3 linked regions of the Tribolium castaneum genome follow. The protein of the gene in region 3 purifies or fractionates together with the protein of the main gene of each other region. This does not show direct contact. Links are inferred from orthologs where the notes say so. Each region holds a gene or a part of one and is shown on either strand. Other genes may lie near its edges. The genes, in order: calnexin, CHOp24 and EMC1.

Region 1 (7,184 bases), on a different chromosome or scaffold from region 3:
GGTTCTTCCTCAATCGGTTCTACAACCTTTGGAGATTCCTCTGGAGTAGCAATTTTTGGCGACTCCTCTGGAGTATTATCATGTTTTTCAGTTTCTGATTCCAGAACGCTATCACATTCGGATTTTTCCGGCGAGTCAAACTTCTCGCGGGTTTCGTCCGTTTGATCAGTCTTCACTTCTGAGCCCGTGTGCTCAATATCCTTCTCATTTCCTTCATCTTTATCTTCGATAATTTCGGAATCTAGCACAGAATCGTCCAAAAAGTCGCCACTTGGGTCGTACAGTTTCGGCAGAGGCCTACCACAGTCCACTTCAGGCACAAACTCACGTTCACATTCAACTTCGCTTTCTGCCTCGTTATCAGCGGCTGAGTTTTTTACTTCCGCTGATTTTACAAGTTCTGGTTCAAGCCCTAATATCTTACTTTTCAAAAGATGACAATCTTTCAAAAAATCGGAGATTGTGTCCGAGAGGGTTTCTTTACCAGATGAGGCTTCGCCATCATCTGCATGAACTAGATTTACCCAAGGATTGACCTTTTCTTTGGTCTCAACTGTCTTATCTGAACTAGAACCCTCATTGTGCTCACTTTCGCTTGATTTATTTTTAACCGTATTCTGGCCATGTCTCGGAAAGATATTTACGGGTGCTGGACACCAAGACAAGCAAACAACCGCCTGATAATGCCCCCTCAATTTATACAAAACTTGCCCATTGCCTGGACAAATTACATGAGCAAAAAGTATTTTTTATGCGCAAACTTACGACGCAAATCGGCCACGATCACCACACCGTTATTTAGTCCAAAGGCCATGAGCCAGCCGGCATGGGGGCACGACGAAAGACAAGTCAGAGTGACTTTACTTTTGAATAAATCTACCAAAGGCTTGGACTCATTCGTGTTGATATTCCAGACGTGTACAAAACCGGTCGATGACGCACTTACGACGCGATCATCACCCGCAAAAACGGCCCCAATTACGGGGTTTTTGTGTTCCTATCATCATTATCTCATTGTGCTTTCCTTAAAAATACCAGACTTACCACATGATCCCTATTCGACGTTTTCTTCTCGAAGGTATCCAAGTCCCACACCTTCATCACGCTGTCTTCCCCCAGGGACACCACGTACGAATGGGGCTCCTTCCATCTCCTGTTCAAACTAACGGAAGTGAGACTGAAACATCAATTGTAGAAAAACGGCCAAGAAACGTAAAACTCAAGTACAGTTTAGAGTGAGCCGAATGAATCAATTTCACTTCGGCCGGTTCTTCGGGGCCTTTTTCCCTAACGATAACAATATCGCTTTTTGCGCCATACACCAAGGTATTGTCAGGGGCACACGCCAACACTGAACTCCTGTACCAAAGGGGCGCAGGAGGAACAGCTAACTCGTTCATCTCACCAAATTATTCAACAACTGAACAAGTAACTTTTAAAACGCATTTACACGTTATTTTCACATGTGGTTGGGCGAGTTTGTGCACTGAACAAGACGTCTGAACCGGAGAATGTTCACCCGTCCGAAATTAATTGAAGTTAGCACCATAAACATTACAGTCGACCAGACAATCCCTGCACGCATTTCCACCATTTCCCACCATTCTCGTTTTCTACAGCCAAGTTCTGTTACAAATTAAAGCTTAACTCATCCAAAAATTACCGAAAAAAGTTATTGGTCGTTACCTGATTATTTGTTACATTCTGGTAATTTTTGCGAGTCGATTTAATTTATTTAATGTTTCGCCACCCTTTTAACTTACGCTGTTGGACGTTTGACAACTGTCACGTGGCCATGCAGGAAAAATGTCAACAGTAATGTCACACGTCACTGTTCTTTTAACACAAAGTTAGATCTATTTCGCAAAAATACTTCTATAAATCTATCATTTTCTGTAATAATGGAGTTTAAAGTGTTTACTTTGAATTGCTGGTAAGCTGTCATGTGATTTATGTTACAAAATTGCACAAAATTCTTAGGGGCCTTGCGGTGGTCTCCAAGAACCGAAGACACCGAATGCAGGCAATAGCTGAGAAGTTGGCGACTAGCCAGTACGATGTAGTTTGCCTCCAAGAGATATGGCTTGACTCTGACTACCAGTTAATCAGAAACAAAGTCTCAGGGGTGTTACCATACTCTCACTATTTTTACAGGTAAATTCAAAAATTCAGTTGAAACAAGCGTAAAGGTGAGTTGTAGCGGAGTCACGGGCTCTGGCGTTTGTATTTTATCGCGACACCCGATGGAGGACGTTTTTTTCCACCAATGGCCAGTAAATGGTTACATTCATAAAATCCACCATGGTGACTGGTTTGGTGGAAAGGGCGTGGGTTTATGTAAATTAAAGGTGAACAATTACACCGTCAACGTCTACTCTGCACATGTAAGATTTATTTTGCTTGATGAACAACACAAAGAGTAATAATTTTAGTTGCACGCAGAATACGACCGAAATTGTGATGAATACCAAGCTCACAGAGTGCTCCAATCTTTCGATACCGCTCAATTTATCCAAATGACGTCTGGAGACGCCGACCTAGTAGTCCTGGCCGGGGACTTAAATACCGAACCTGGAGATTTAGCCTACAGGATAATGTTGAGTGTTCCGGGACTTGTAGATGCGTTTGGTGAAGCTGGAGAAACGGTGCAGAATTGTGTGGCGACAAATGAAAGCCTCACTAATAGTTACACACCCGTGGCCTTACTCAAGAAAAACATTCCTGGCAAAAGAATCGACTATATCATGTATCATCCAGGCTCAAGTTTACAAATCGATTTAAAAAGCTACACATTGCCGTTACCACACAAAATCCCCGGATGTGCGTACAGTTACTCGGACCATGAAGCAATCGCTGCGACTTTAATCGTCACAAAGAGCGAGATAAGGTCGCTGAAAAGCGACCAACACATGAAGAAAACTGTCCTTGAAGAGAGCATAGAAATCTGTGATGACGCACTCAGGGGCTTGAATAACCATAAATATTTGTACTGGTTTTTTACGTTCGTTTTAATCGTGTTGCTGGTTACGACACTTGCAACTGACCTACCTTTCGGCTACAATCTGAATTTTATTTACCACATTTTGAAAATTTTAATCACCCTTTTTATGTTTTACACTTTGATGATGGCAACTATCTGGAATAAAATCGAACGTCATGCTGTGATTGCGGGCAAGTTGGGAATGGAGACAGCTTTGAGGAAATTAAAAGCCAAAGATTTGTAATTATATCAGGGCCAAAACAAGCTCAGTATTTTAAATCAAAGACCAACACCTGTTGCTCATTTTTTATTTGGTTTGTACGACTGTGATCGTTTCTGTACCACTGGTGAATAAAGTTTTCATTTTTTAACTGTTTGTACTTTTTTTCCCCGCCTATTTTTGAACTGAGCGCAACTTTGCCATCTGTTTGACGCTGATTGGTCGGCGAATTTGTGTTTATTCTCTTCATAAATGCGGTGTATTACGTGGTGTTCAAGAACTACAATAAAAATAATCTGATAATAAATGAAATACAGCCTAAGTAAACACCAATTTGAGTTAAGACTGTGGTGCTGAAGCTAGTGTTGTAAGAGTGCTGTGTAAAACTACTTCCGGATTTTGAGGTTAGGTATGTCATTTTATTTTGTCGGTCTCTAGAATTTTAATTATTTCATCGTGAAGTCGGCTTTTTTGTGCATTTTGTAGTAATAGCGTGTCGATAGTTGGGTAAGAGAGTGCGTTTTTGTCGATATTTGGCGTAATTTCGTAACTAATCGATTGGGAAGTGCGTTCACTAACCTTTCAGGTTAATTTTTTAAATTGGATTAGTCCCTGACTTATATTAGTAAATACTGCTTCCGTTTCGTCATCCTGTAATCACGACACATAATTAGTGCCCGGTTTGGTTTGCAGGACAATATATGATCACAAAATGCTTAGAAGTCTCGTTCCGGCAGTAATCACGTTATTGTTGATATTTTCGGCGGTAAAATGTGACGAAGTGGACGATTCTGACGAGGCTACTGTGGAAGTAGAACCGGAAGAATCACACATTGATATCCCCTACGAAAGTCCGAGCCCCCTTGACCCGAAAAAGGTCTATTTCGCCGAGCATTTCGACGATCCAGACCAGTTTGCGAAACGTTGGATAAAATCCCAAGCGAAGAAAGAAGGGATTTCCGAAGACATCGCAAAATACGACGGTGAATGGCAACTTGAACCAACCCAAAAAGACAGTCTAGTGGGCGACAAAGGTTTAGTGCTTAAATCAAAGGCTAAACACGCTGCTATTGCCTCCTCTCTCCTAAAACCGTTTATTTTTGATACTAAACCATTAATCGTGCAATATGAAGTAATATTCCAAGACGGCCAAGAATGTGGCGGAGCCTACTTGAAGCTGCTCACCCAGGACTCCGCCAGTAAAAACTTGAACAACTTCCACGATAAAACCCCCTACTCGATCATGTTCGGCCCCGACAAGTGCGGTAACGACCACAAGCTCCACTTTATCTTCAAGCACCGCAACCCTCTCAACGGGAGCGTCGAGGAAAAGCATTGCAAAAAACCCAAAGACCGCATTGAGGAAGTCTTCTCCGACAAACTCCCCCACTTGTTCACCCTTGTCCTGCACCCTGACAACACCTTCGAGATCCTAATCGACAACAAAGTGGTCAATTCGGGAAGTTTGCTTGAGGATTTCACCCCGGCAGTGAATCCTCCGAAAGAAATTGACGATCCTAATGACAAGAAACCTGAGGATTGGGATGAAAGGGAGAAAATCCCTGACCCAGATGCCGTGAAACCTGACGATTGGGATGAGGATGCGCCGGCTCAGATTGTTGATGAATCAGCGGTGAAACCGGAAGGTTGGCTGGATAATGAACCGTCGCATGTTTTCGATCCTGATGCAAAGAAACCAGAAGATTGGGATTCGGAAATGGACGGGGAGTGGGAACCACCGCTTATTGATAATCCCGCTTGTAAGGATGCTGTCGGGTGTGGGCCTTGGGAGCCCCCACTTATCAATAATCCCGATTATAAGGGGAAGTGGAGGGCGCCGCTTATCGATAATCCTAATTATAAGGGGAAGTGGAGGCCCAGGAGGATCCCCAATCCCGAGTTCTTCGAAGATAAGCATCCCTTTAAAATGCAGACTGTTGTAAGTAAATGGTTAAAAAATTATCTTGTTTATGTAACTGTAATTATTGGTGCCGATATGTTTACATTATTTTTTCTTCTTGTTCAAATTTATCAGTTGATTTTGTACACTATTAGAACATAGTTTACAAATCTGCAGTCAAAATTTGGCTGTCAGCTCTAGTTTCCTCTCCAGTTTCCAGAATTTGTGAAAAGTATATTTCGATATGCTTTGTACAAAAATAACAAATTCTGAGCTTCTAATTTTGTTAGCAATTTTTTTAGAGTGCCTAGGACAGTGAGAAAATGGTAAAAGAATTGCCTCTTGATAAAATTGAGCCAACTTGAAATTGACACATTTATTTTTGCGATTTTTTTTTATTATCTTTGGTTTTTGGCAGAATTGTAGTTGTTTAATTTCCATATTTTTACCGAAACTGCGTATTTGATTATTGCATTGTTGCCTTCAACAAAACATGTTGCAAAAAAGAATTGTTTGTGTCACTACAAAAGGATTTAGTTGCTATGTGAGATATGCTAACTAAGGAAGTAATATATACTTAGCCACACCCAATCGTTTTTATGCTTATTTTGGCGAATTTGCGTTCGTATTGTGATAAAAATGTTTTGTAAACCTAAATAAAGAATTGTATTTTTGCAATTCATTCAAGATTAATTTATCTTTGGACAAATAACTTTTTTCAGACCGCTGTTGGATTTGAGTTATGGTCAATGTCAAAGGACATTTTCTTCGACAATATTATTATTACCGACGATATTACCGTTGCGAACCATTGGGCAGACGCCACTTTTGAAAAAAAGAAGCAAAAGATCGCCAAGGATTCGGTTAGTATCTGTTTAATTTAAATGAATTTTATTATATTTGTGATTTTTTACTAAATAAGAGGACACTGTGGGGTCGTCTTATGAAAAAGTTAAACTATAAACCTGTACCGTGGTTCTTATATTTCGTTTATTGCGCCATACCGGTTTGTTGTTACATATGGTACCTCTACTTCTGCATTCAAGAGGTATTTTCGTACTGCTAGTTATAGTTTTCTTTGTTTTGACATAGGAAAGCGTAATTCAAAAATTAGCTACCTTGACCAATGATTACCCTTGGCTTTGGGGAGTATACATTATCGTACTAGGCATCCCTGTTGTTTTTGTATTATACCTTTGCTGCAAGCCTGGATCCTCTGCTAGTCAAATTCAGGTATTTTGGCTATTGCATTAAATTTTGCGGTGTTAATAAGTGACAATGACAGGAGAAAGAGGAGCTTCGACAAGCAGCGCAACATAAAAAGACTGACGAAACGACTGAAGATGTTGTAGAAGAAGAAGGTAAAGAAGAAGAAGAAGATGAAGTAGAAGCTGAAAATGCAGAAGACGACGATAGAGAAAAGAATTCAGGGCCTGATTCCGACGAAGAAGAGGAATCAGAGGAAAAAACAGAGGTGAGATTCAGTCGTTAAAATTAAAATTGGGTTTATCATGTTCTCGCAGGAACAGTCATCCAAAGGTGCAGGTGACGGCGCGAGGAAACGAAAAGTTCGTAAGGAGTGATAGTAATTTTTGTATAACTTGCACCAGCACTGTTTTCATCATGCAATCCTGCAGTTGTATTTATTTACGATTGTTTGTTTTTTTGCTGTACATTATTCGTTCCATTTTTCCTTAGGAAATTTGTTCTTTTTGAAAGAATAGTATAATTGTAGTTGTTACGTTTTCGAATAAAGTATTTGACAGCGGTTCATTTTACTGTATTTGTAAATAATCAAACGGAGGGCTTAAGGGAAAGGTATTAAGCCGTTTGTATATTTGAGGATTATTTATTACAGAAAATAAAAAACATGGAACTATTTTTTGGTAATTTGTACCATTTCACCGGCAGCTCTTCAGTTTCCCAGACCAAATTCGCCCGTACTAGTATTATGTCATTGCATGATTTGCATCAGCGATTTTTCTATATTATATTTATAATGTCCTGTGATTATGTAATAGTTCAGAGGAAAATAAATTACTTAAGTTTATTGTGTGTGGAACTAAAGCTACAATAAATAAACT
Region 2 (5,876 bases), on a different chromosome or scaffold from region 3:
AGAAGTTTTACTATTTGTATACAGTGTGCTATGATCTGTTTATTAAATTATATTGAAATGAAACTGCGTTTTAAATTGCGTTTTCCATCAATAGTGTATTATACAAGTTTGTTAGACGAATGGTTTTGGAGCACGACGAAGGAGTGCCACAATTAAGTCTTATAACACGATTTTTTCTACTTTCTATCCATTTTTACTGTTTGTTTTTATTTAGTTTAACTATTTCCTCATGCTTTAATTTAATTTAAATGCAATACGACTTGAAACTGAGTGGTTTTTATTATTAATTTATTAATACAAGGTATATTATTTAATTAATGAAGGACGCTATAATTGGTTGCAGTTTTTATGCAAGTACGTAGTATTGTGTTTATTTAGATATTTATTACTGTATAGTAAGTTTTTTTTGTAAATATGATGCGTTTGAGTTTAATAAACTAGTCTGAAAATAATTGAGTTTTATTTTTTCCCATTTTTTGTTTTGGACGGTGGGGTCCTGGGTTCGAACCCGGTCGCATCCGTTTTTTTTTTTTTAAGGGAAAATATGAATTATTGGGGAGTTTTATTGGTTAAAAACAAAATTGAATGGTATTTATTATTGATTTATTAATACTAGGAATATTATTTAATTAATAAAGGACGGTATAATTGGTTGCTTGACTAAATTAATTTTATGCAAGTTCTGTTTGATCAAAACGTAGTATTGTGTTTATTTAAGTATTTATTACTATATACGAAGGTTTTTTTTGTAAATATGATATATTTGAATTTAATAAATTAGACTGAAAATGATTGAGTTTTATTTTTCCCATTTTTTGTTTCGGAAGGTGGGGTCCGGGGTTCGAACCCGGTCACATCCGTTTTTTTTTTAAGAGATAATATGAATTATTGGGGAGTTTTGTTGCCTAAAAAGAGAATTGAATGGTATTTATTATTAATTTATTAATACTAGGAATATTATTTAATTAAAAAAGAACAGTATAATTGATTGCTTGACTCTTGACTAAGTTACTTTTATGCAAGTTCTATTTGAAACAAAACTTAGTATTGTGTTTATTTCGGTATTTATTACTACATAGGAAGGTTTTTCTTGTAAATATGATGTGTTTGAGTTTAATAAACTAGATTGAAAATAACTTTTTATTTTTTCCATTTTTTGTTTTGGAAGTTGGGGTCCGGGGTTCGAACCCGGTCGGCATCCGTTTTTTTTTAAAGTAAAATATGAGTTATTGGGGAATTTTATTGGCTAAAAAGAGAATCGAATAATTTTTATTATTAATTTATCGATACAAAGAATATTATTTAATTAATAAAGGACGGTATAATTAGTTGCTTGACTAAGTTACTTTTATGCAAGTTCTGTTTGAAACGAAACGTAGTATTGTGTTTATTTAGAAATTTATTACCCTATAGTAAGTATTTTTTTTGTAAATATAATGTGTTTGAGTTTAATAAACTAGACTGAAAATGACTGAGTTTAATTTTTTCCCGTTTTTTGTTTTGGAACTTGGAGTCCGGGGTTCGCACCCGGTCGGCATCCGTTTTTTTTTAAGGAAAATATAAATTGTTGGGGAGTTTTATTGGTAAAAAAAATGAATGGTATTTATTATTAATACTCGGAATATTATTTAATTAATAATGGATGGTATAATTAGTTGCTTGACTAAGTCACTTTTATGCAAGTTCTGTTTGAAACGAAACGTAGTATTGTCTTTATTTAGGTATTTATTACAATATAGGAAGTTTTTTTTGTAATCAATTGCCAACTTTACAGTTTACAATTTTCATTTTTTCATTAAACTTTCTACTAAAAAAATTTGGTTGCGACCTGACAGCGTGTACAACCGACTAAACTCATTTTGTGCCACAATTAATTAATAATTCTCCCTGATTTTGGAAAAAAATGGAAAAATCTTGTGAAATCGCCATGTTGGCAGCGTCTCCTTTTGACAGGAGAGGTTAGATACGTGGCCGATGAATTTAACTTAAATCTCAGAAATGTGTTCAAAAGTGATAATCTCCCTTCTGCTCCTGTACACATCCTCAACATCTGCCTATTTCATAACCGTGGACGCGCACGCCGAGGAATGTTTCTTCGACAAGGTGGAAGCTGGCACAAAAATGGGTACGTTGTAGTGCGGGGCCCTTGCCCAGCTAACCCCCTTTTGCAGGCTTGACTTTCGAGATAGCCGAAGGGGGCTTCCTGGACATTGATGTCCGGATCGTGGGCCCCGACGATAAGGTTATCTACCAGGGCGAAAGGGAGACTTCGGGGAAGTACACTTTTTCGGCGCACACTGCCGGCACTTACACGTACTGTTTTTCGAATAAGATGTCGACAATGACGCCCAAAGTGGTCATGTTTAATATGGCCATTGGTGAGGGCCCCAAGGCCGAGCACCAGGAGGGCGATTCCACGAATAAGTTGGAGGATATGATCCGGGAACTGAGCGGTGAGTGGGGGCCCAAGTAGGCCAGGAAAATAAGTATTCAAATATACATAAAATATATATTTTATCGTCTTGTATAGTACATAATTATTAATTCAACGTTTTTAAATAAATAAAATTCAAGTATATCCTTAAAATATATATTTTTAAGGCTTATTTAAATGTTCACAAATAATTTGCTGTTGTAGCATCGTTGACTGGGGTTAAGCAAGAACAGGAGTATATGCAAGTCAGGGACCGCATTCACAGGAGTATTAATGAAAACACAAATTCAAGAGTTGTGATGTGGTCATTTTTTGAGGCCCTAATTTTGGTCGCGATGACTCTTGGACAGGTTTATTATTTGAAGCGATTCTTCGAGGTACGGAGAGTCGTTTAAGTCACTTTTTGTTGTGAAATTTTGTAAATTAATATTTAATAAGAATTTTTAATAAAAAATGTCACAGAACACTTGGTTTTATTACACCCGACACACATTCCATTCCCAATCAGAGCGGGCTATGACTTCGAAATCAAGTTGGCAATGTCATAATTTCATAACCAATAATTGACTATGCCAACTTGATCTCAAAAAAGAGATTATACGTTGACAAGAAAAACGGAATAATTACAAAAAAGCGTAATTTCATAACATAGTAGGTGTAAAATGTTACTGAAACTTTGAATACACCTCTTATTGTAACAAAAAACAGCGAAATAGAAACATAATTTTATTAAAATTCATAAAAACTTACAAAGAAGCATAGACTTTGGCACAAAAACAACAAAAATCAAGAGGTAGGTTTGTATTTACAAGTTGATATATAAAAGTTGAAACTTTGTTTCGTCTAGAGTGATATAAATTTAGTCGTCTATTTCTAAATCTAATTCTATATCCGACAATTCCATTAACTGTAGCGAATTAATTAACATATACCTTGAGAAAAGCATATAGAGACGTCGAAACCAAACTAATTGGGACTGATGCTGTTTCATGGCCTTGTGGATTATAGCGCGGTCTGCAGAAGTCACTAAATACCTAAAACAATTGACAGTTGTGCTACAAGTTGCCCATGAATTATACTATTGGCAACACTCGGTTATTGTCTTTATGCAACGAGCGTAAGCGAGAAGCGTTTTCTTATTTTTTTGTTGGAACATTTTTATTTAAAACACGTTGCTATGGGAAGCGTGTAAAATATTATTAAAAGGAAGACTCAACAAAAAATTATTTTTAATTTGATACTTAATACTTAATAATTAAGTTATTAGGAATTGTAGAATAGTTCTGAAAAATTCACACGCATGCATATTTTTTTTACATTTAAGTTGGATAATCAGGGTTGCCAAATTAATTTAGTAGTCACCCGGTGCATGCCAACTTGATGCATCATTAAAAACGCCCTCACCTTATCCTGGACAAAAGAAACGAGACGGGAATATCCAACAGGAGCCAATACTTCCTCAACAAATTAACAGTCTCTAGAACATAAACAGAACATTCCTTGGGCAATTTTTTCTCAATGCTGAGATGAGCGATCGCGTAGTAAATACTGCAGTGATTGAGATGATAGCTAACTCCGTGTTTATCAAAGGTGACAAGCGTGTCAATGCTGTAGGTCTCCACGTGGTTTAAAATCAATTTAGCGACCAATTCAATCGGCCATTTGGCCCCCATTTGATCGGGCAAGTTCGTGTGGTTGCACACCGTGATACAGCTATCGTCAATGCCCAGCATGCGACACGATTTGTACAATTCCTGTTTGCGGGTTTTCCCCAGTCCGTAATTTTGCCCTGAAACGAGTGATTACGCCCGAAAAATGAGCGGGTCTCAAACCTGTCGAAAGACACATCAGGAACACTTTACATTGGTTCTGTTTGGTGAAGTTCAAAACAGTGGGGCCAAAAAACATGCATTCGTCGTCAGGATGTGCGATTACTAGTAAAACACGATGGGGGTTTTTTACGTCTTTTTTGAAGTGGATTATCTTCCAGCGAGAGATGGAAAGGTACAAAAACACGCATACTATGATGTACACGGACACGGCTACGATTAAATGCTCCACGGTTTCTTTCGTGTATTCCTGGACTCGAACGGTTAGATTCTTCCAAGAGGCTGAGACGAGGGACACCAACGATTCGAAACCTAGACTCATGCCAAGGCGCTGCTTGGCTCATCTCAGTCATGAAGTCACGCTCGAAATAGATTTACCGAGCATTTGCGGTATTTTTAGATTTTCTGGCGGAGAAATTGGCACAGGGCATAATTTTGAGGTTAGGTTGACGTCCCCATTTCTAGGGATTTTTATCTGTCACTAGCATTCCCAAGCGGGAATTCTGGTCACCAACAGAAAATCAACGACAGAAAAGACATTTCTAGAAACATTCACGTTTCTAGAATTTTACATTTTTAAATTAATACCACTAATAGTCTTCATAATTGTAAAACTAATGGTACTTTTCATTTTTTTATGTTCGTAAAAATAAAAAAGTTATGAGACCTCAAAGTCTCTCTAGGTGTGACGTCGGGCGGCACAATTGACTCAGCTGGTTAAAATTAACATGTTTCCAAAATTATTTCGCTGTTCCTCAATTTTTTCCATTTAGCTATTGCAGTCCTATATCTTTTATGAATGTTTAATGAACTATAACTAAATAAAATAAATAAAATTCAGAAATCTCACGTTATAAAACCGTTGGATATCAAAAAATGAGAACAAGACATCTTTAGAAAAACAAGAGAATCGTAATTTCATATCTTTGAAAACACTAGGTTTATAATTATAAACCACATCTACTTATTCATCGAACGTATCTTCAAAAGCATTAACAAATAAAGAAATTGTATTTCTGTAAATAACAAGTCGTTTGTAGAACACTTATTTTTTTACATATTTTTTTTTGTACAAAACATTCTGCAAGCATCGCTTGTTCTATAAATCATAAAAATTTCCATTAGTTAATGTTTTTAGTTTTTTTTAAATAAAATAATATTTTATTAATATAAATATTTCTCATTAATTAATATTTATTATTTATAAGAAATTGTAGAAAAAATCTGATAAAATTCGAAGGCTTACAGAAAGAAATAAAGCAAAAAAAATCACAAACGCTGATTTTTGTGTGATTATTTAAATGGATTATTATTGGTTATTAGTGATTCATTACAGTATCTCCTTAAACAAATTACTTCAATTATCACAAATAACACTTTCTTTCAATATTTATATCTTTTAAGTCAATAAAATTATCCGGAGATCTCAATACAATGCCGAAAGGAACAGTAGTGTGTAAATCGCCGTAAATGACCCAATACTTAACAGTTTTTGATTACGCAATAGATTAAATAACTCTTTGTAATCAAAAATCTTTTTCACTTTTTTATCAAAGTCCAACATAAAACACTTTATAATCACGAAAAAACGCAAAACCAAAGGCAACACTAGT
Region 3 (6,964 bases):
TCAGATTATTTGCACAATTTTGACTTAATTCCCATCAAATTTTGGACAGAAATAGATAATTAACTAGTAAAAAGGGCATAAGTCGTCTTAGATCATTTTAATATTTTTTTATATTTTTCTCTTATTTTTGGTATATTGGAAAAATTAAAATCGACCACATTTCGTCTGATATCTCGAAAACTACGAATAAAATATCAAAAATGATTACAGATTTGGAATCGTCAGACAATTCTACGTCAGATAAGCATACATTTGAAATAAATTTTCGGTTATTGTGGCCTTGATAATTTTTTAAAGATGAGATAGAATTTTTTTTGACAAAGTTGTTTTACCTAGATAATTTGCACAATTTTGACCCGATTGCCACAGAATTTAGCACAGAAATAGACAATTAACTAGTAAAAAGGGCACAAGTCGTTTTAGATTAATTTCAATCTTTTTATATTTTTAAATTTTGGAAAATTAAAAAAATTAAAATCGGTCATATTTTGTCCAATATCTCCAAGACTACGAATCGCAGAACAAAAAGGAAGACAGATTTGGAATCCTCGGACAATTTTACGTTAGATAGATATACTTTTGAAATAAAGTTTCGGTTATTGTGACCTTGATAATTTTTTTAAAGATTGATTGGTAAGAAATTTTTTTTGACAAAGTTCTAGTTTATTTTCTTTTAAACAATTTTTTGATTAATTATGTTTGCTTTTTAAGAATTTTTTTTTTGTTTTTTTCTCAATTCTGATCCCAGTTTTGTAATAGTTTTTGTTCTTTTCTTCGCACAAAATTCCACTGTTTGTTTAGCTTCGAGTAACAAACCCATCGTAATAAATGGCTTCTTCCGATAAAAGCGCCATCTGATGCAGCTATACCTTAGCCACTTTTCTAGGGCGGCAAATTCAAATGTGTTTTTTATTTATTACTCGTTTATTATTTGTACAAGTAAGCATTGCCCATTTGTGTGTTTTCCGCCTTTTGATTTAATGCCCATGCCCATAGATGGGCGAGTTGGGTCGCAAGGGTTGGCGCGAAGTCTCTGGTAGTGGTAACGCAGGCGACTACCATTCCGGTGGTTATGGGCAAGTTGGTGGCGAAAACTACCATTCACCTGGCGAGAAATCCTCGTTGGTGAGCAGTGGCAATGGTTACGTCCGGGACGAAGACTGGAGTTGTAGCAGTCAACAGGGTTCAAAGTATTTGTGTTTTGTTTTTGGTTATTTTCTCTGATTTGGGGATTTTAAGGGCGTCTAGTCCCAAGTCGCCTGGCCAGAACTGGGACGGCAGTTGGGGTGGTTACCAGAGCGACCATCAGGGCTACCAATCCGACTCTAGGGACTTTTCCTCCCCCACGTCACCCACAGGCGCAAAATCGAGCAAAAAAGAGAAGAAAACAAAAGAGAAGAAAGCCAACTGGGACGATAAGTGGGGGGATGACGAGCTGTGGGAAAGCCTCAACAAGTAAAATTGTGACCAATTAGACCAATTAATTATTCGCATCGTGGGTGTTCATGACGTTGTTATTTCAATTTTTTAGCTCAATGTTTACGGTTTATTTACTTTATTTTTATCATTCAATGTTGTTACATTATAACTGTTGCTTATACCGGTACCAAAAGTGAGATTATTTATTTTTAACGGACTTAAACGACTTCCAGCTTGGTCACAACGCGCGAACATGCATTTATTGTCCAGTTGTTGTTACTGTAAATATTCCTTGTAGCTATAGGCTATTATTAACTGAAACATTTATGTAAAGTATGATTAATTCGAAATTTCAAGACAAATAAACATTATTTTACTCACCTACTTGGCCTTAATCAATTACAGGAACCTGTATCGTGTGAGCCGGGACTACCAACTGAAACAGCCATTTTCAACCATCCCCTAAATTTTTCTTCGATAAAGATTGTAACGAATGATGATGGTATAGCTATGTGATACAGTTTTTTCGCACACAATTGCCCAAATATTTCAAATTACTTGGTAGGGCTGTCAAGAAATTCTCGCTAAAGTGCATTCGCGTCTATTCCAGTTTTACTAGTGCTGTCCAAGAATGCGAAAAAATTGAACAAATTACGGAATCGTGATCCTAAGATCAATATTTTTGGAAATCGGCTCAATATAACTGCTATAACTCAATCCAGTAAAAATAAATGAAAGTTTGAAAATTCTCGTCAGCGACCATTCTCGCCAACGTCCTACCCAGTTTATGACTTGTCAAAACCATTGAGGTTATGTCATAGAGGTTATGTGTTCAAAATGACGAATTTGGGGCACTTTATCACACTATGCGCCACAATTCTCTCAGCCCACGCGATCTACGAAGACCAGGTGGGCAAATTCGACTGGAAACGCTCATTTATCGGCAAAGTAAAGCACGCTCAATTCGACACCAAACGCCTGATTGTGACCACACATGAGAATATCATTGCTAGTCTGAGCCCCAAAACTGGCGAAATACAATGGCGCCAATTGATGGAGGACCCCCAGGAGCACCAGCCCCAGCTCCTGCACCTGGACAAGGACGCGGTCACAGTTTCTGGGGGCAAGTCCCGGTTTTACGTGCGCGGGTGGGACGCCCCCACTGGAAGCCTCCTGTGGGAGTGGCCCCTGGTGCTGGACCGCCCCGGCGACTCGTTCTGGCTGCTCCAAGGCGACTTGTTAGTGCATGTTTTGGCAATTAAGGGCTCCCACATGGAAGTGACTCAGTTTAGTGTCAAAACGGGGGAAGTCCGGGCCAAGACGCGCAAAATCCCCGAAACGTGGGTTTCCGGTGACAAGTGCGTAACAGCCAACCCCTACTTCGTGTGTGTTTTTAACGGACAGTTGTTTTGGCTGGATGTGGTTAATGAGGGGGGCAGAGCCTCGTCCCAGCCGATTCAAGGGGGCCCTGACTGTAATCTCCTCGAGTTTGATGGCCCAAAACCCGCCGTATTACTCGTGAGACAAAATAGCGCTAAAATCGTGGAACTTGGGGGCGCAGTTTTGCCGCACGAAGTGGCCCCAAACGCTGTCTCGATCGGTAGTTCTGTTTTTCAACTTGAGGCAAATTTGGACAATTTGGATAAATTGGTTCGGGTGAAATCGTTTGATCTAGTGAGCGGGCGTGAAAGTTCGGTCGAGATCGATTATCCGTTAGGTCTCGGAGGACCATATATTGTGTCGGGGCAGTGCCGTGGCCCCGCCTGCGAGCTCCTCCTCTCCAGCACTGACCACGCCCTCACGCTAGTCCGCCTGCCCGAAGGGCGCGTCTCCTGGACGCGTGAAGAAGCCTTAAGTAACATAATCTCAGTCGAATTTTTCGAGTTACCAGTGTCCGACCTTGAGGCCAGTATCGAGACCGAATTTACCGACAACGACGTCATCACCATGTTCACGCGCCGCATTTCCACCCAAACCAAACAGCTCGTTAATCTAGTGAGCGGGCAGTTCGGCTCAACTCGGGACGACTTCGGCCTACACCGTATCATTGTCGTGGCAACGGCCGTCGGTAAACTCTTCGGGATTGACACGCTTCGCAACGGATCAATCGTGTGGACGTACCGCCTACCGAACGTCAAGCCTGTGATGCTATTGGTGCAGCGCACGGCGCGACACGCCCCCTTGCCCGCCCAGTGCGTGCTATTGGCCCAGGACGTGACGACGGGAGGCGGGGTTTTGTTCGCCTTTGATCCGATTAGCGGGGAGTCACGCGGGCTGGACCGGTTGTCCTATCGGATCAAGCAGGCGTTTGTGGCGCCCAATGAGGACGAGGAGCATCTCAAACCGGTGATTGTGATTGGTGCGGACGATTCAGTGCGGGTGTTCCCCGAAAGGGGTCCCAAAACAGTCGCTTATGTTTATACAATCGATCAAAGTCTGGTTCAAGGTTATAGACTTGAACCGGACGGGTTAAAACCGGTATGGAACCTAAACTTGGGTGTGTGTGACCTTGTGGGGGTTAGCACACGTCCGGTGACCGAGCGGGTGCATTCCCAAGGTCGGGTCTTGCACGACCGGTCGGTTCACTACAAGTATGTTAACCCCAATTTAATTGCGTTGGCAACACTGAGTGAAGACCCGGTACATAAGAGCGTTCTTAACGTGTTCCTGGTTGATGGTGTGACCGGTTTTGTTGTCTACTCGACCTCGCATAAAAAAGCCAAAGGGCCGGTACATTTAGTACATTCGGAAAACTGGCTCGTTTATACGTTTTTCAACGAACGGTTCCGAAGAACCGAAATCGTGGCAACGGAACTGTACGAAGGCTCAATCCAGAGTAACAGTACCGTATTCAGTTCCTTTGCCATAAGTCAGTTACCAGAGGTCAAAACCGAGTCATACATCCTACCAGCTAACCCCGTCTCCATGTCAGTAACTCTGACCGAACGTGGGATAACCAACAAGTTTTTGTTGGTCGGGACCAGTTCTGGCAGCGTTGTGGAAATCCCCTGGATGTTGCTCCAGCCGCGGTTTGCCGACATGCCCTGCGGTCCAGAAGAGAGCTGTTTCCCCTACATGCCAGAAATCGCCATACCGCCCGAAGCCACTATTAACTACAACCAAACTCTGGCAAGGATTCGCAAAATCGCAGTGGCCCCTGCCAAGCTGGAGAGTACAAGTCATGTGTTGGTCCACGGGTTGGACTTGTTTTATACGCGAGTGGCGCCCTCTAAGACTTTTGATTTGTTGAAGGAGGATTTTGATCATCGGTTGATTGTTTTGGTTTTGGTGGGACTGGTGGTGGCATCGTATGTTACCAAGTATCTGGCGGCCAAGAAGGCGCTAAGACAGGCTTGGAAGTAATTAGGCAATAAATTAAGGGTGGGTGTCCATGGACGGGCTTTGGATATTTTTTTATTTTTTGGGAGGATGGTTTTATACCCTATCTGGTCGTGATGGTAGTCTTGAAAGTATGGTGTTTTTGTGCTCCAGTTTAAAAGTTTGAATAAGATTTCCGAAGTATTTGAATGACCTTGAGACTTAAATAGTATATAGATCCTACACGAGAATAACAAAAATATTTTAAAATTGCAGTTGAAGGAAATGTATGATGTGCAAAAGAATGATTATTTCATACATGTTTAGTAAAACTGCTGTTTTTTTAACTTAAAGTCATTTAATTAACCAAGGAGCAATCATAACTAATGCCATTATTTTTTATGGTTTTACAGTGCCATTAATTTTGATATTTATTATGTCTCATGGTTAATTTTTATATGCATGGTCATTGAAAACACATTCAAAATTTCGATTTTCTCTACACAAATTGTAGTTTATTTATTATATTAAGTAAAGAAAAGTTGTTCATTATCTGCCTACTTTTCTTTACGTCTATGCCACTTGTTTTTCTTATAGAAAAAAACATAAAGATTTGGTAATAATTTTTTACCAGTAGAATAAAAAATAACTAAATTAAATAATCTACCATAGGTATCTGTAAAAGCAAACAATGGTTTTAGGAGGAAAAGTGCATAAGTGCAGGCTTTCACGATTACTGTCGACATTCGAGGTTTTAAAACAGATTATATGATGAAAAAATGTTAAAAATCCAAAATGCCGTTTTATGGATATTACCAATTTAAGTTTTAGTCAATGTGCACCTTTGTTGTTCTGTTTGTTGTACAATCAAGTCAGTTGTTTTGTTGTTTGATACTGTGTCTTTATACAGCATTTTGTAAGATAATTACGTTCGGTACGGACGTGGCGTAATTTGTAATTAGAGTTGTTGGGTCGTGTATAAAGTGTAAACAAAGACCAAATAAAAAGTTTAAAATGCAAAGTGTATCGATTTTTTGCCAGAGGGATATTTGCATTTGTGGGGAATATTAATGAAAATAAGTAAATAAGCTTTGCTATTACTTATGATTTTTTAAGCAATTTTTACATCATGTGTCAACGAAAATAAGGATATAACTTCGAAAACATTTTTTGATTTTTATTCAGAATAAGGTATTGCTTTCTGCATTAATAAAGATAAGGATAATCTTAGAAAAATAAGCTAAAATTATTATCTGAAGAGTAAAGAGTATGAAACTGAAATTATTTTGAGTAACACAAGTTCTAAAAACAAGCAAATGCGTGTAAGTAAAAGTAAATATTAATACAAAATAATCAGAAGACGCAGGGTTTTATTTTTAATTTTTTACCAGTAACAAATAACATTCGCATAAAAAATTTACTGTTACGTGTTGTGTGAGTGGGGCATTATCGCCTTCTAGTAGAGCAAACAACCCAAGAGGGCTCAAAACCTCTCAAAAATCATTAATTTTTTTCCACCCTAAAAGTTCCCAAAAATTGGGCACACGAAAAAATCGCTAAAATCTCCCAAAATAATGGAAAATTACCTCAAGAACGCTCTAAAAACTAACAAAATACCGTGTTTTTACACACCCCAAAATGGCTTTTTATTTCTGGACCTTGGTGCATGCAAAAAAGTAAAATTCTTGTTTTTTTACTTCATTGGGTGTTTTTGTTACGCCATAATTTGGTGCAAGTTGTACGAAACGATTGCAAAAACGTGCCAAGTTGAAGCAAAGTGCTAAAGAATTGCGTAAATTAATATTGAATTGATTAGTTTTTCCACTCGTTTTTCCAAAAACTAAAAACCAATCTATTCGTTTTTTATGTCAATAAAAAACTGGCTATAATTAGCGCCAGCAGAGGTCGCTTCACCTCGAAATGTCAGTTGCCGTCAGTTTGACGTTTGTGTTCTTTCGCTTCGGAATTTTCATAAATAAATCAACATAATGTAATAAATTGATCGAAATTATCAATTTGGAGGCGAAACTGTTGGTTTTTTGGCCTCTAGTGCGTAGTTATCTCGTTGTGCGTGACCCGAATCCGGTCGTTTTGAAGGTTAGTTTTTTGCTTTTTGTTTGTGTATAAACCGCCCTGTGCCCCATTTTTGGGGCAAATTCGCGTAAACGTCGCGCGCGAATTGTAAAGTTCACGTCGCGGGTAAATATTTTCGACGTTTCGCTGCTAT

What was found.
Region 1: the proteins of EMC1 (region 3) and calnexin purify together in Homo sapiens (affinity purification with mass spectrometry; 4 studies listed by BioGRID and IntAct, with this or other methods). This does not show direct contact. The link is inferred for Tribolium castaneum from reciprocal best matches to the Homo sapiens genes EMC1 and CANX.
Region 2: the proteins of EMC1 (region 3) and CHOp24 purify together in Homo sapiens (affinity purification with mass spectrometry; 3 studies listed by BioGRID and IntAct, with this or other methods). This does not show direct contact. The link is inferred for Tribolium castaneum from reciprocal best matches to the Homo sapiens genes EMC1 and TMED2.

Annotation. Positions count from the first base shown.
Region 1 is NC_087402.1:5,189,106-5,196,289, reverse strand, and holds the start of calnexin, read left to right. Parts: upstream 1-3,408; 5' UTR 3,409-3,604; exon of another isoform or gene 3,605-3,609; intron 3,610-3,612; exon of another isoform or gene 3,613-3,707; intron 3,708-3,893; 5' UTR 3,894-3,912; coding exon 3,913-5,139; intron 5,140-5,822; coding exon 5,823-5,963; intron 5,964-6,192; coding exon 6,193-6,333; intron 6,334-6,385; coding exon 6,386-6,574; intron 6,575-6,623; coding exon 6,624-6,683; 3' UTR 6,684-7,183; coding exon of another isoform or gene 7,184-7,184. Other genes in the region: gem-associated protein 5, read right to left, coding at 1-718, 766-997, 1,045-1,177, 1,228-1,400; nSMase (putative neutral sphingomyelinase), read left to right, coding at 1,902-1,933, 1,981-2,154, 2,201-2,384, 2,433-3,224; parathyroid hormone/parathyroid hormone-related peptide receptor, read right to left, coding at 7,184-7,184. UniProt on the Homo sapiens protein: Calcium-binding protein that interacts with newly synthesized monoglucosylated glycoproteins in the endoplasmic reticulum. It may act in assisting protein assembly and/or in the retention within the ER of unassembled protein subunits.
Region 2 is NC_087401.1:13,708,498-13,714,373, reverse strand, and holds CHOp24 (transmembrane emp24 domain-containing protein 2), read left to right. Parts: upstream 1-1,902; 5' UTR 1,903-1,998; coding exon 1,999-2,125; intron 2,126-2,171; coding exon 2,172-2,453; intron 2,454-2,638; coding exon 2,639-2,829; 3' UTR 2,830-2,898; downstream 2,899-5,876. Other genes in the region: PIG-L (N-acetylglucosaminyl-phosphatidylinositol de-N-acetylase), read right to left, coding at 3,294-3,468, 3,839-4,223, 4,267-4,585. UniProt on the Homo sapiens protein: Involved in vesicular protein trafficking. Mainly functions in the early secretory pathway but also in post-Golgi membranes.
Region 3 is NC_087394.1:1,540,516-1,547,479, forward strand, and holds EMC1 (ER membrane protein complex subunit 1), read left to right. Parts: upstream 1-2,147; 5' UTR 2,148-2,256; coding exon 2,257-4,782; 3' UTR 4,783-5,758; downstream 5,759-6,964. Other genes in the region: ArfGAP1 (ADP-ribosylation factor GTPase-activating protein 1), read left to right, coding at 997-1,190, 1,240-1,459. UniProt on the Homo sapiens protein: Part of the endoplasmic reticulum membrane protein complex (EMC) that enables the energy-independent insertion into endoplasmic reticulum membranes of newly synthesized membrane proteins.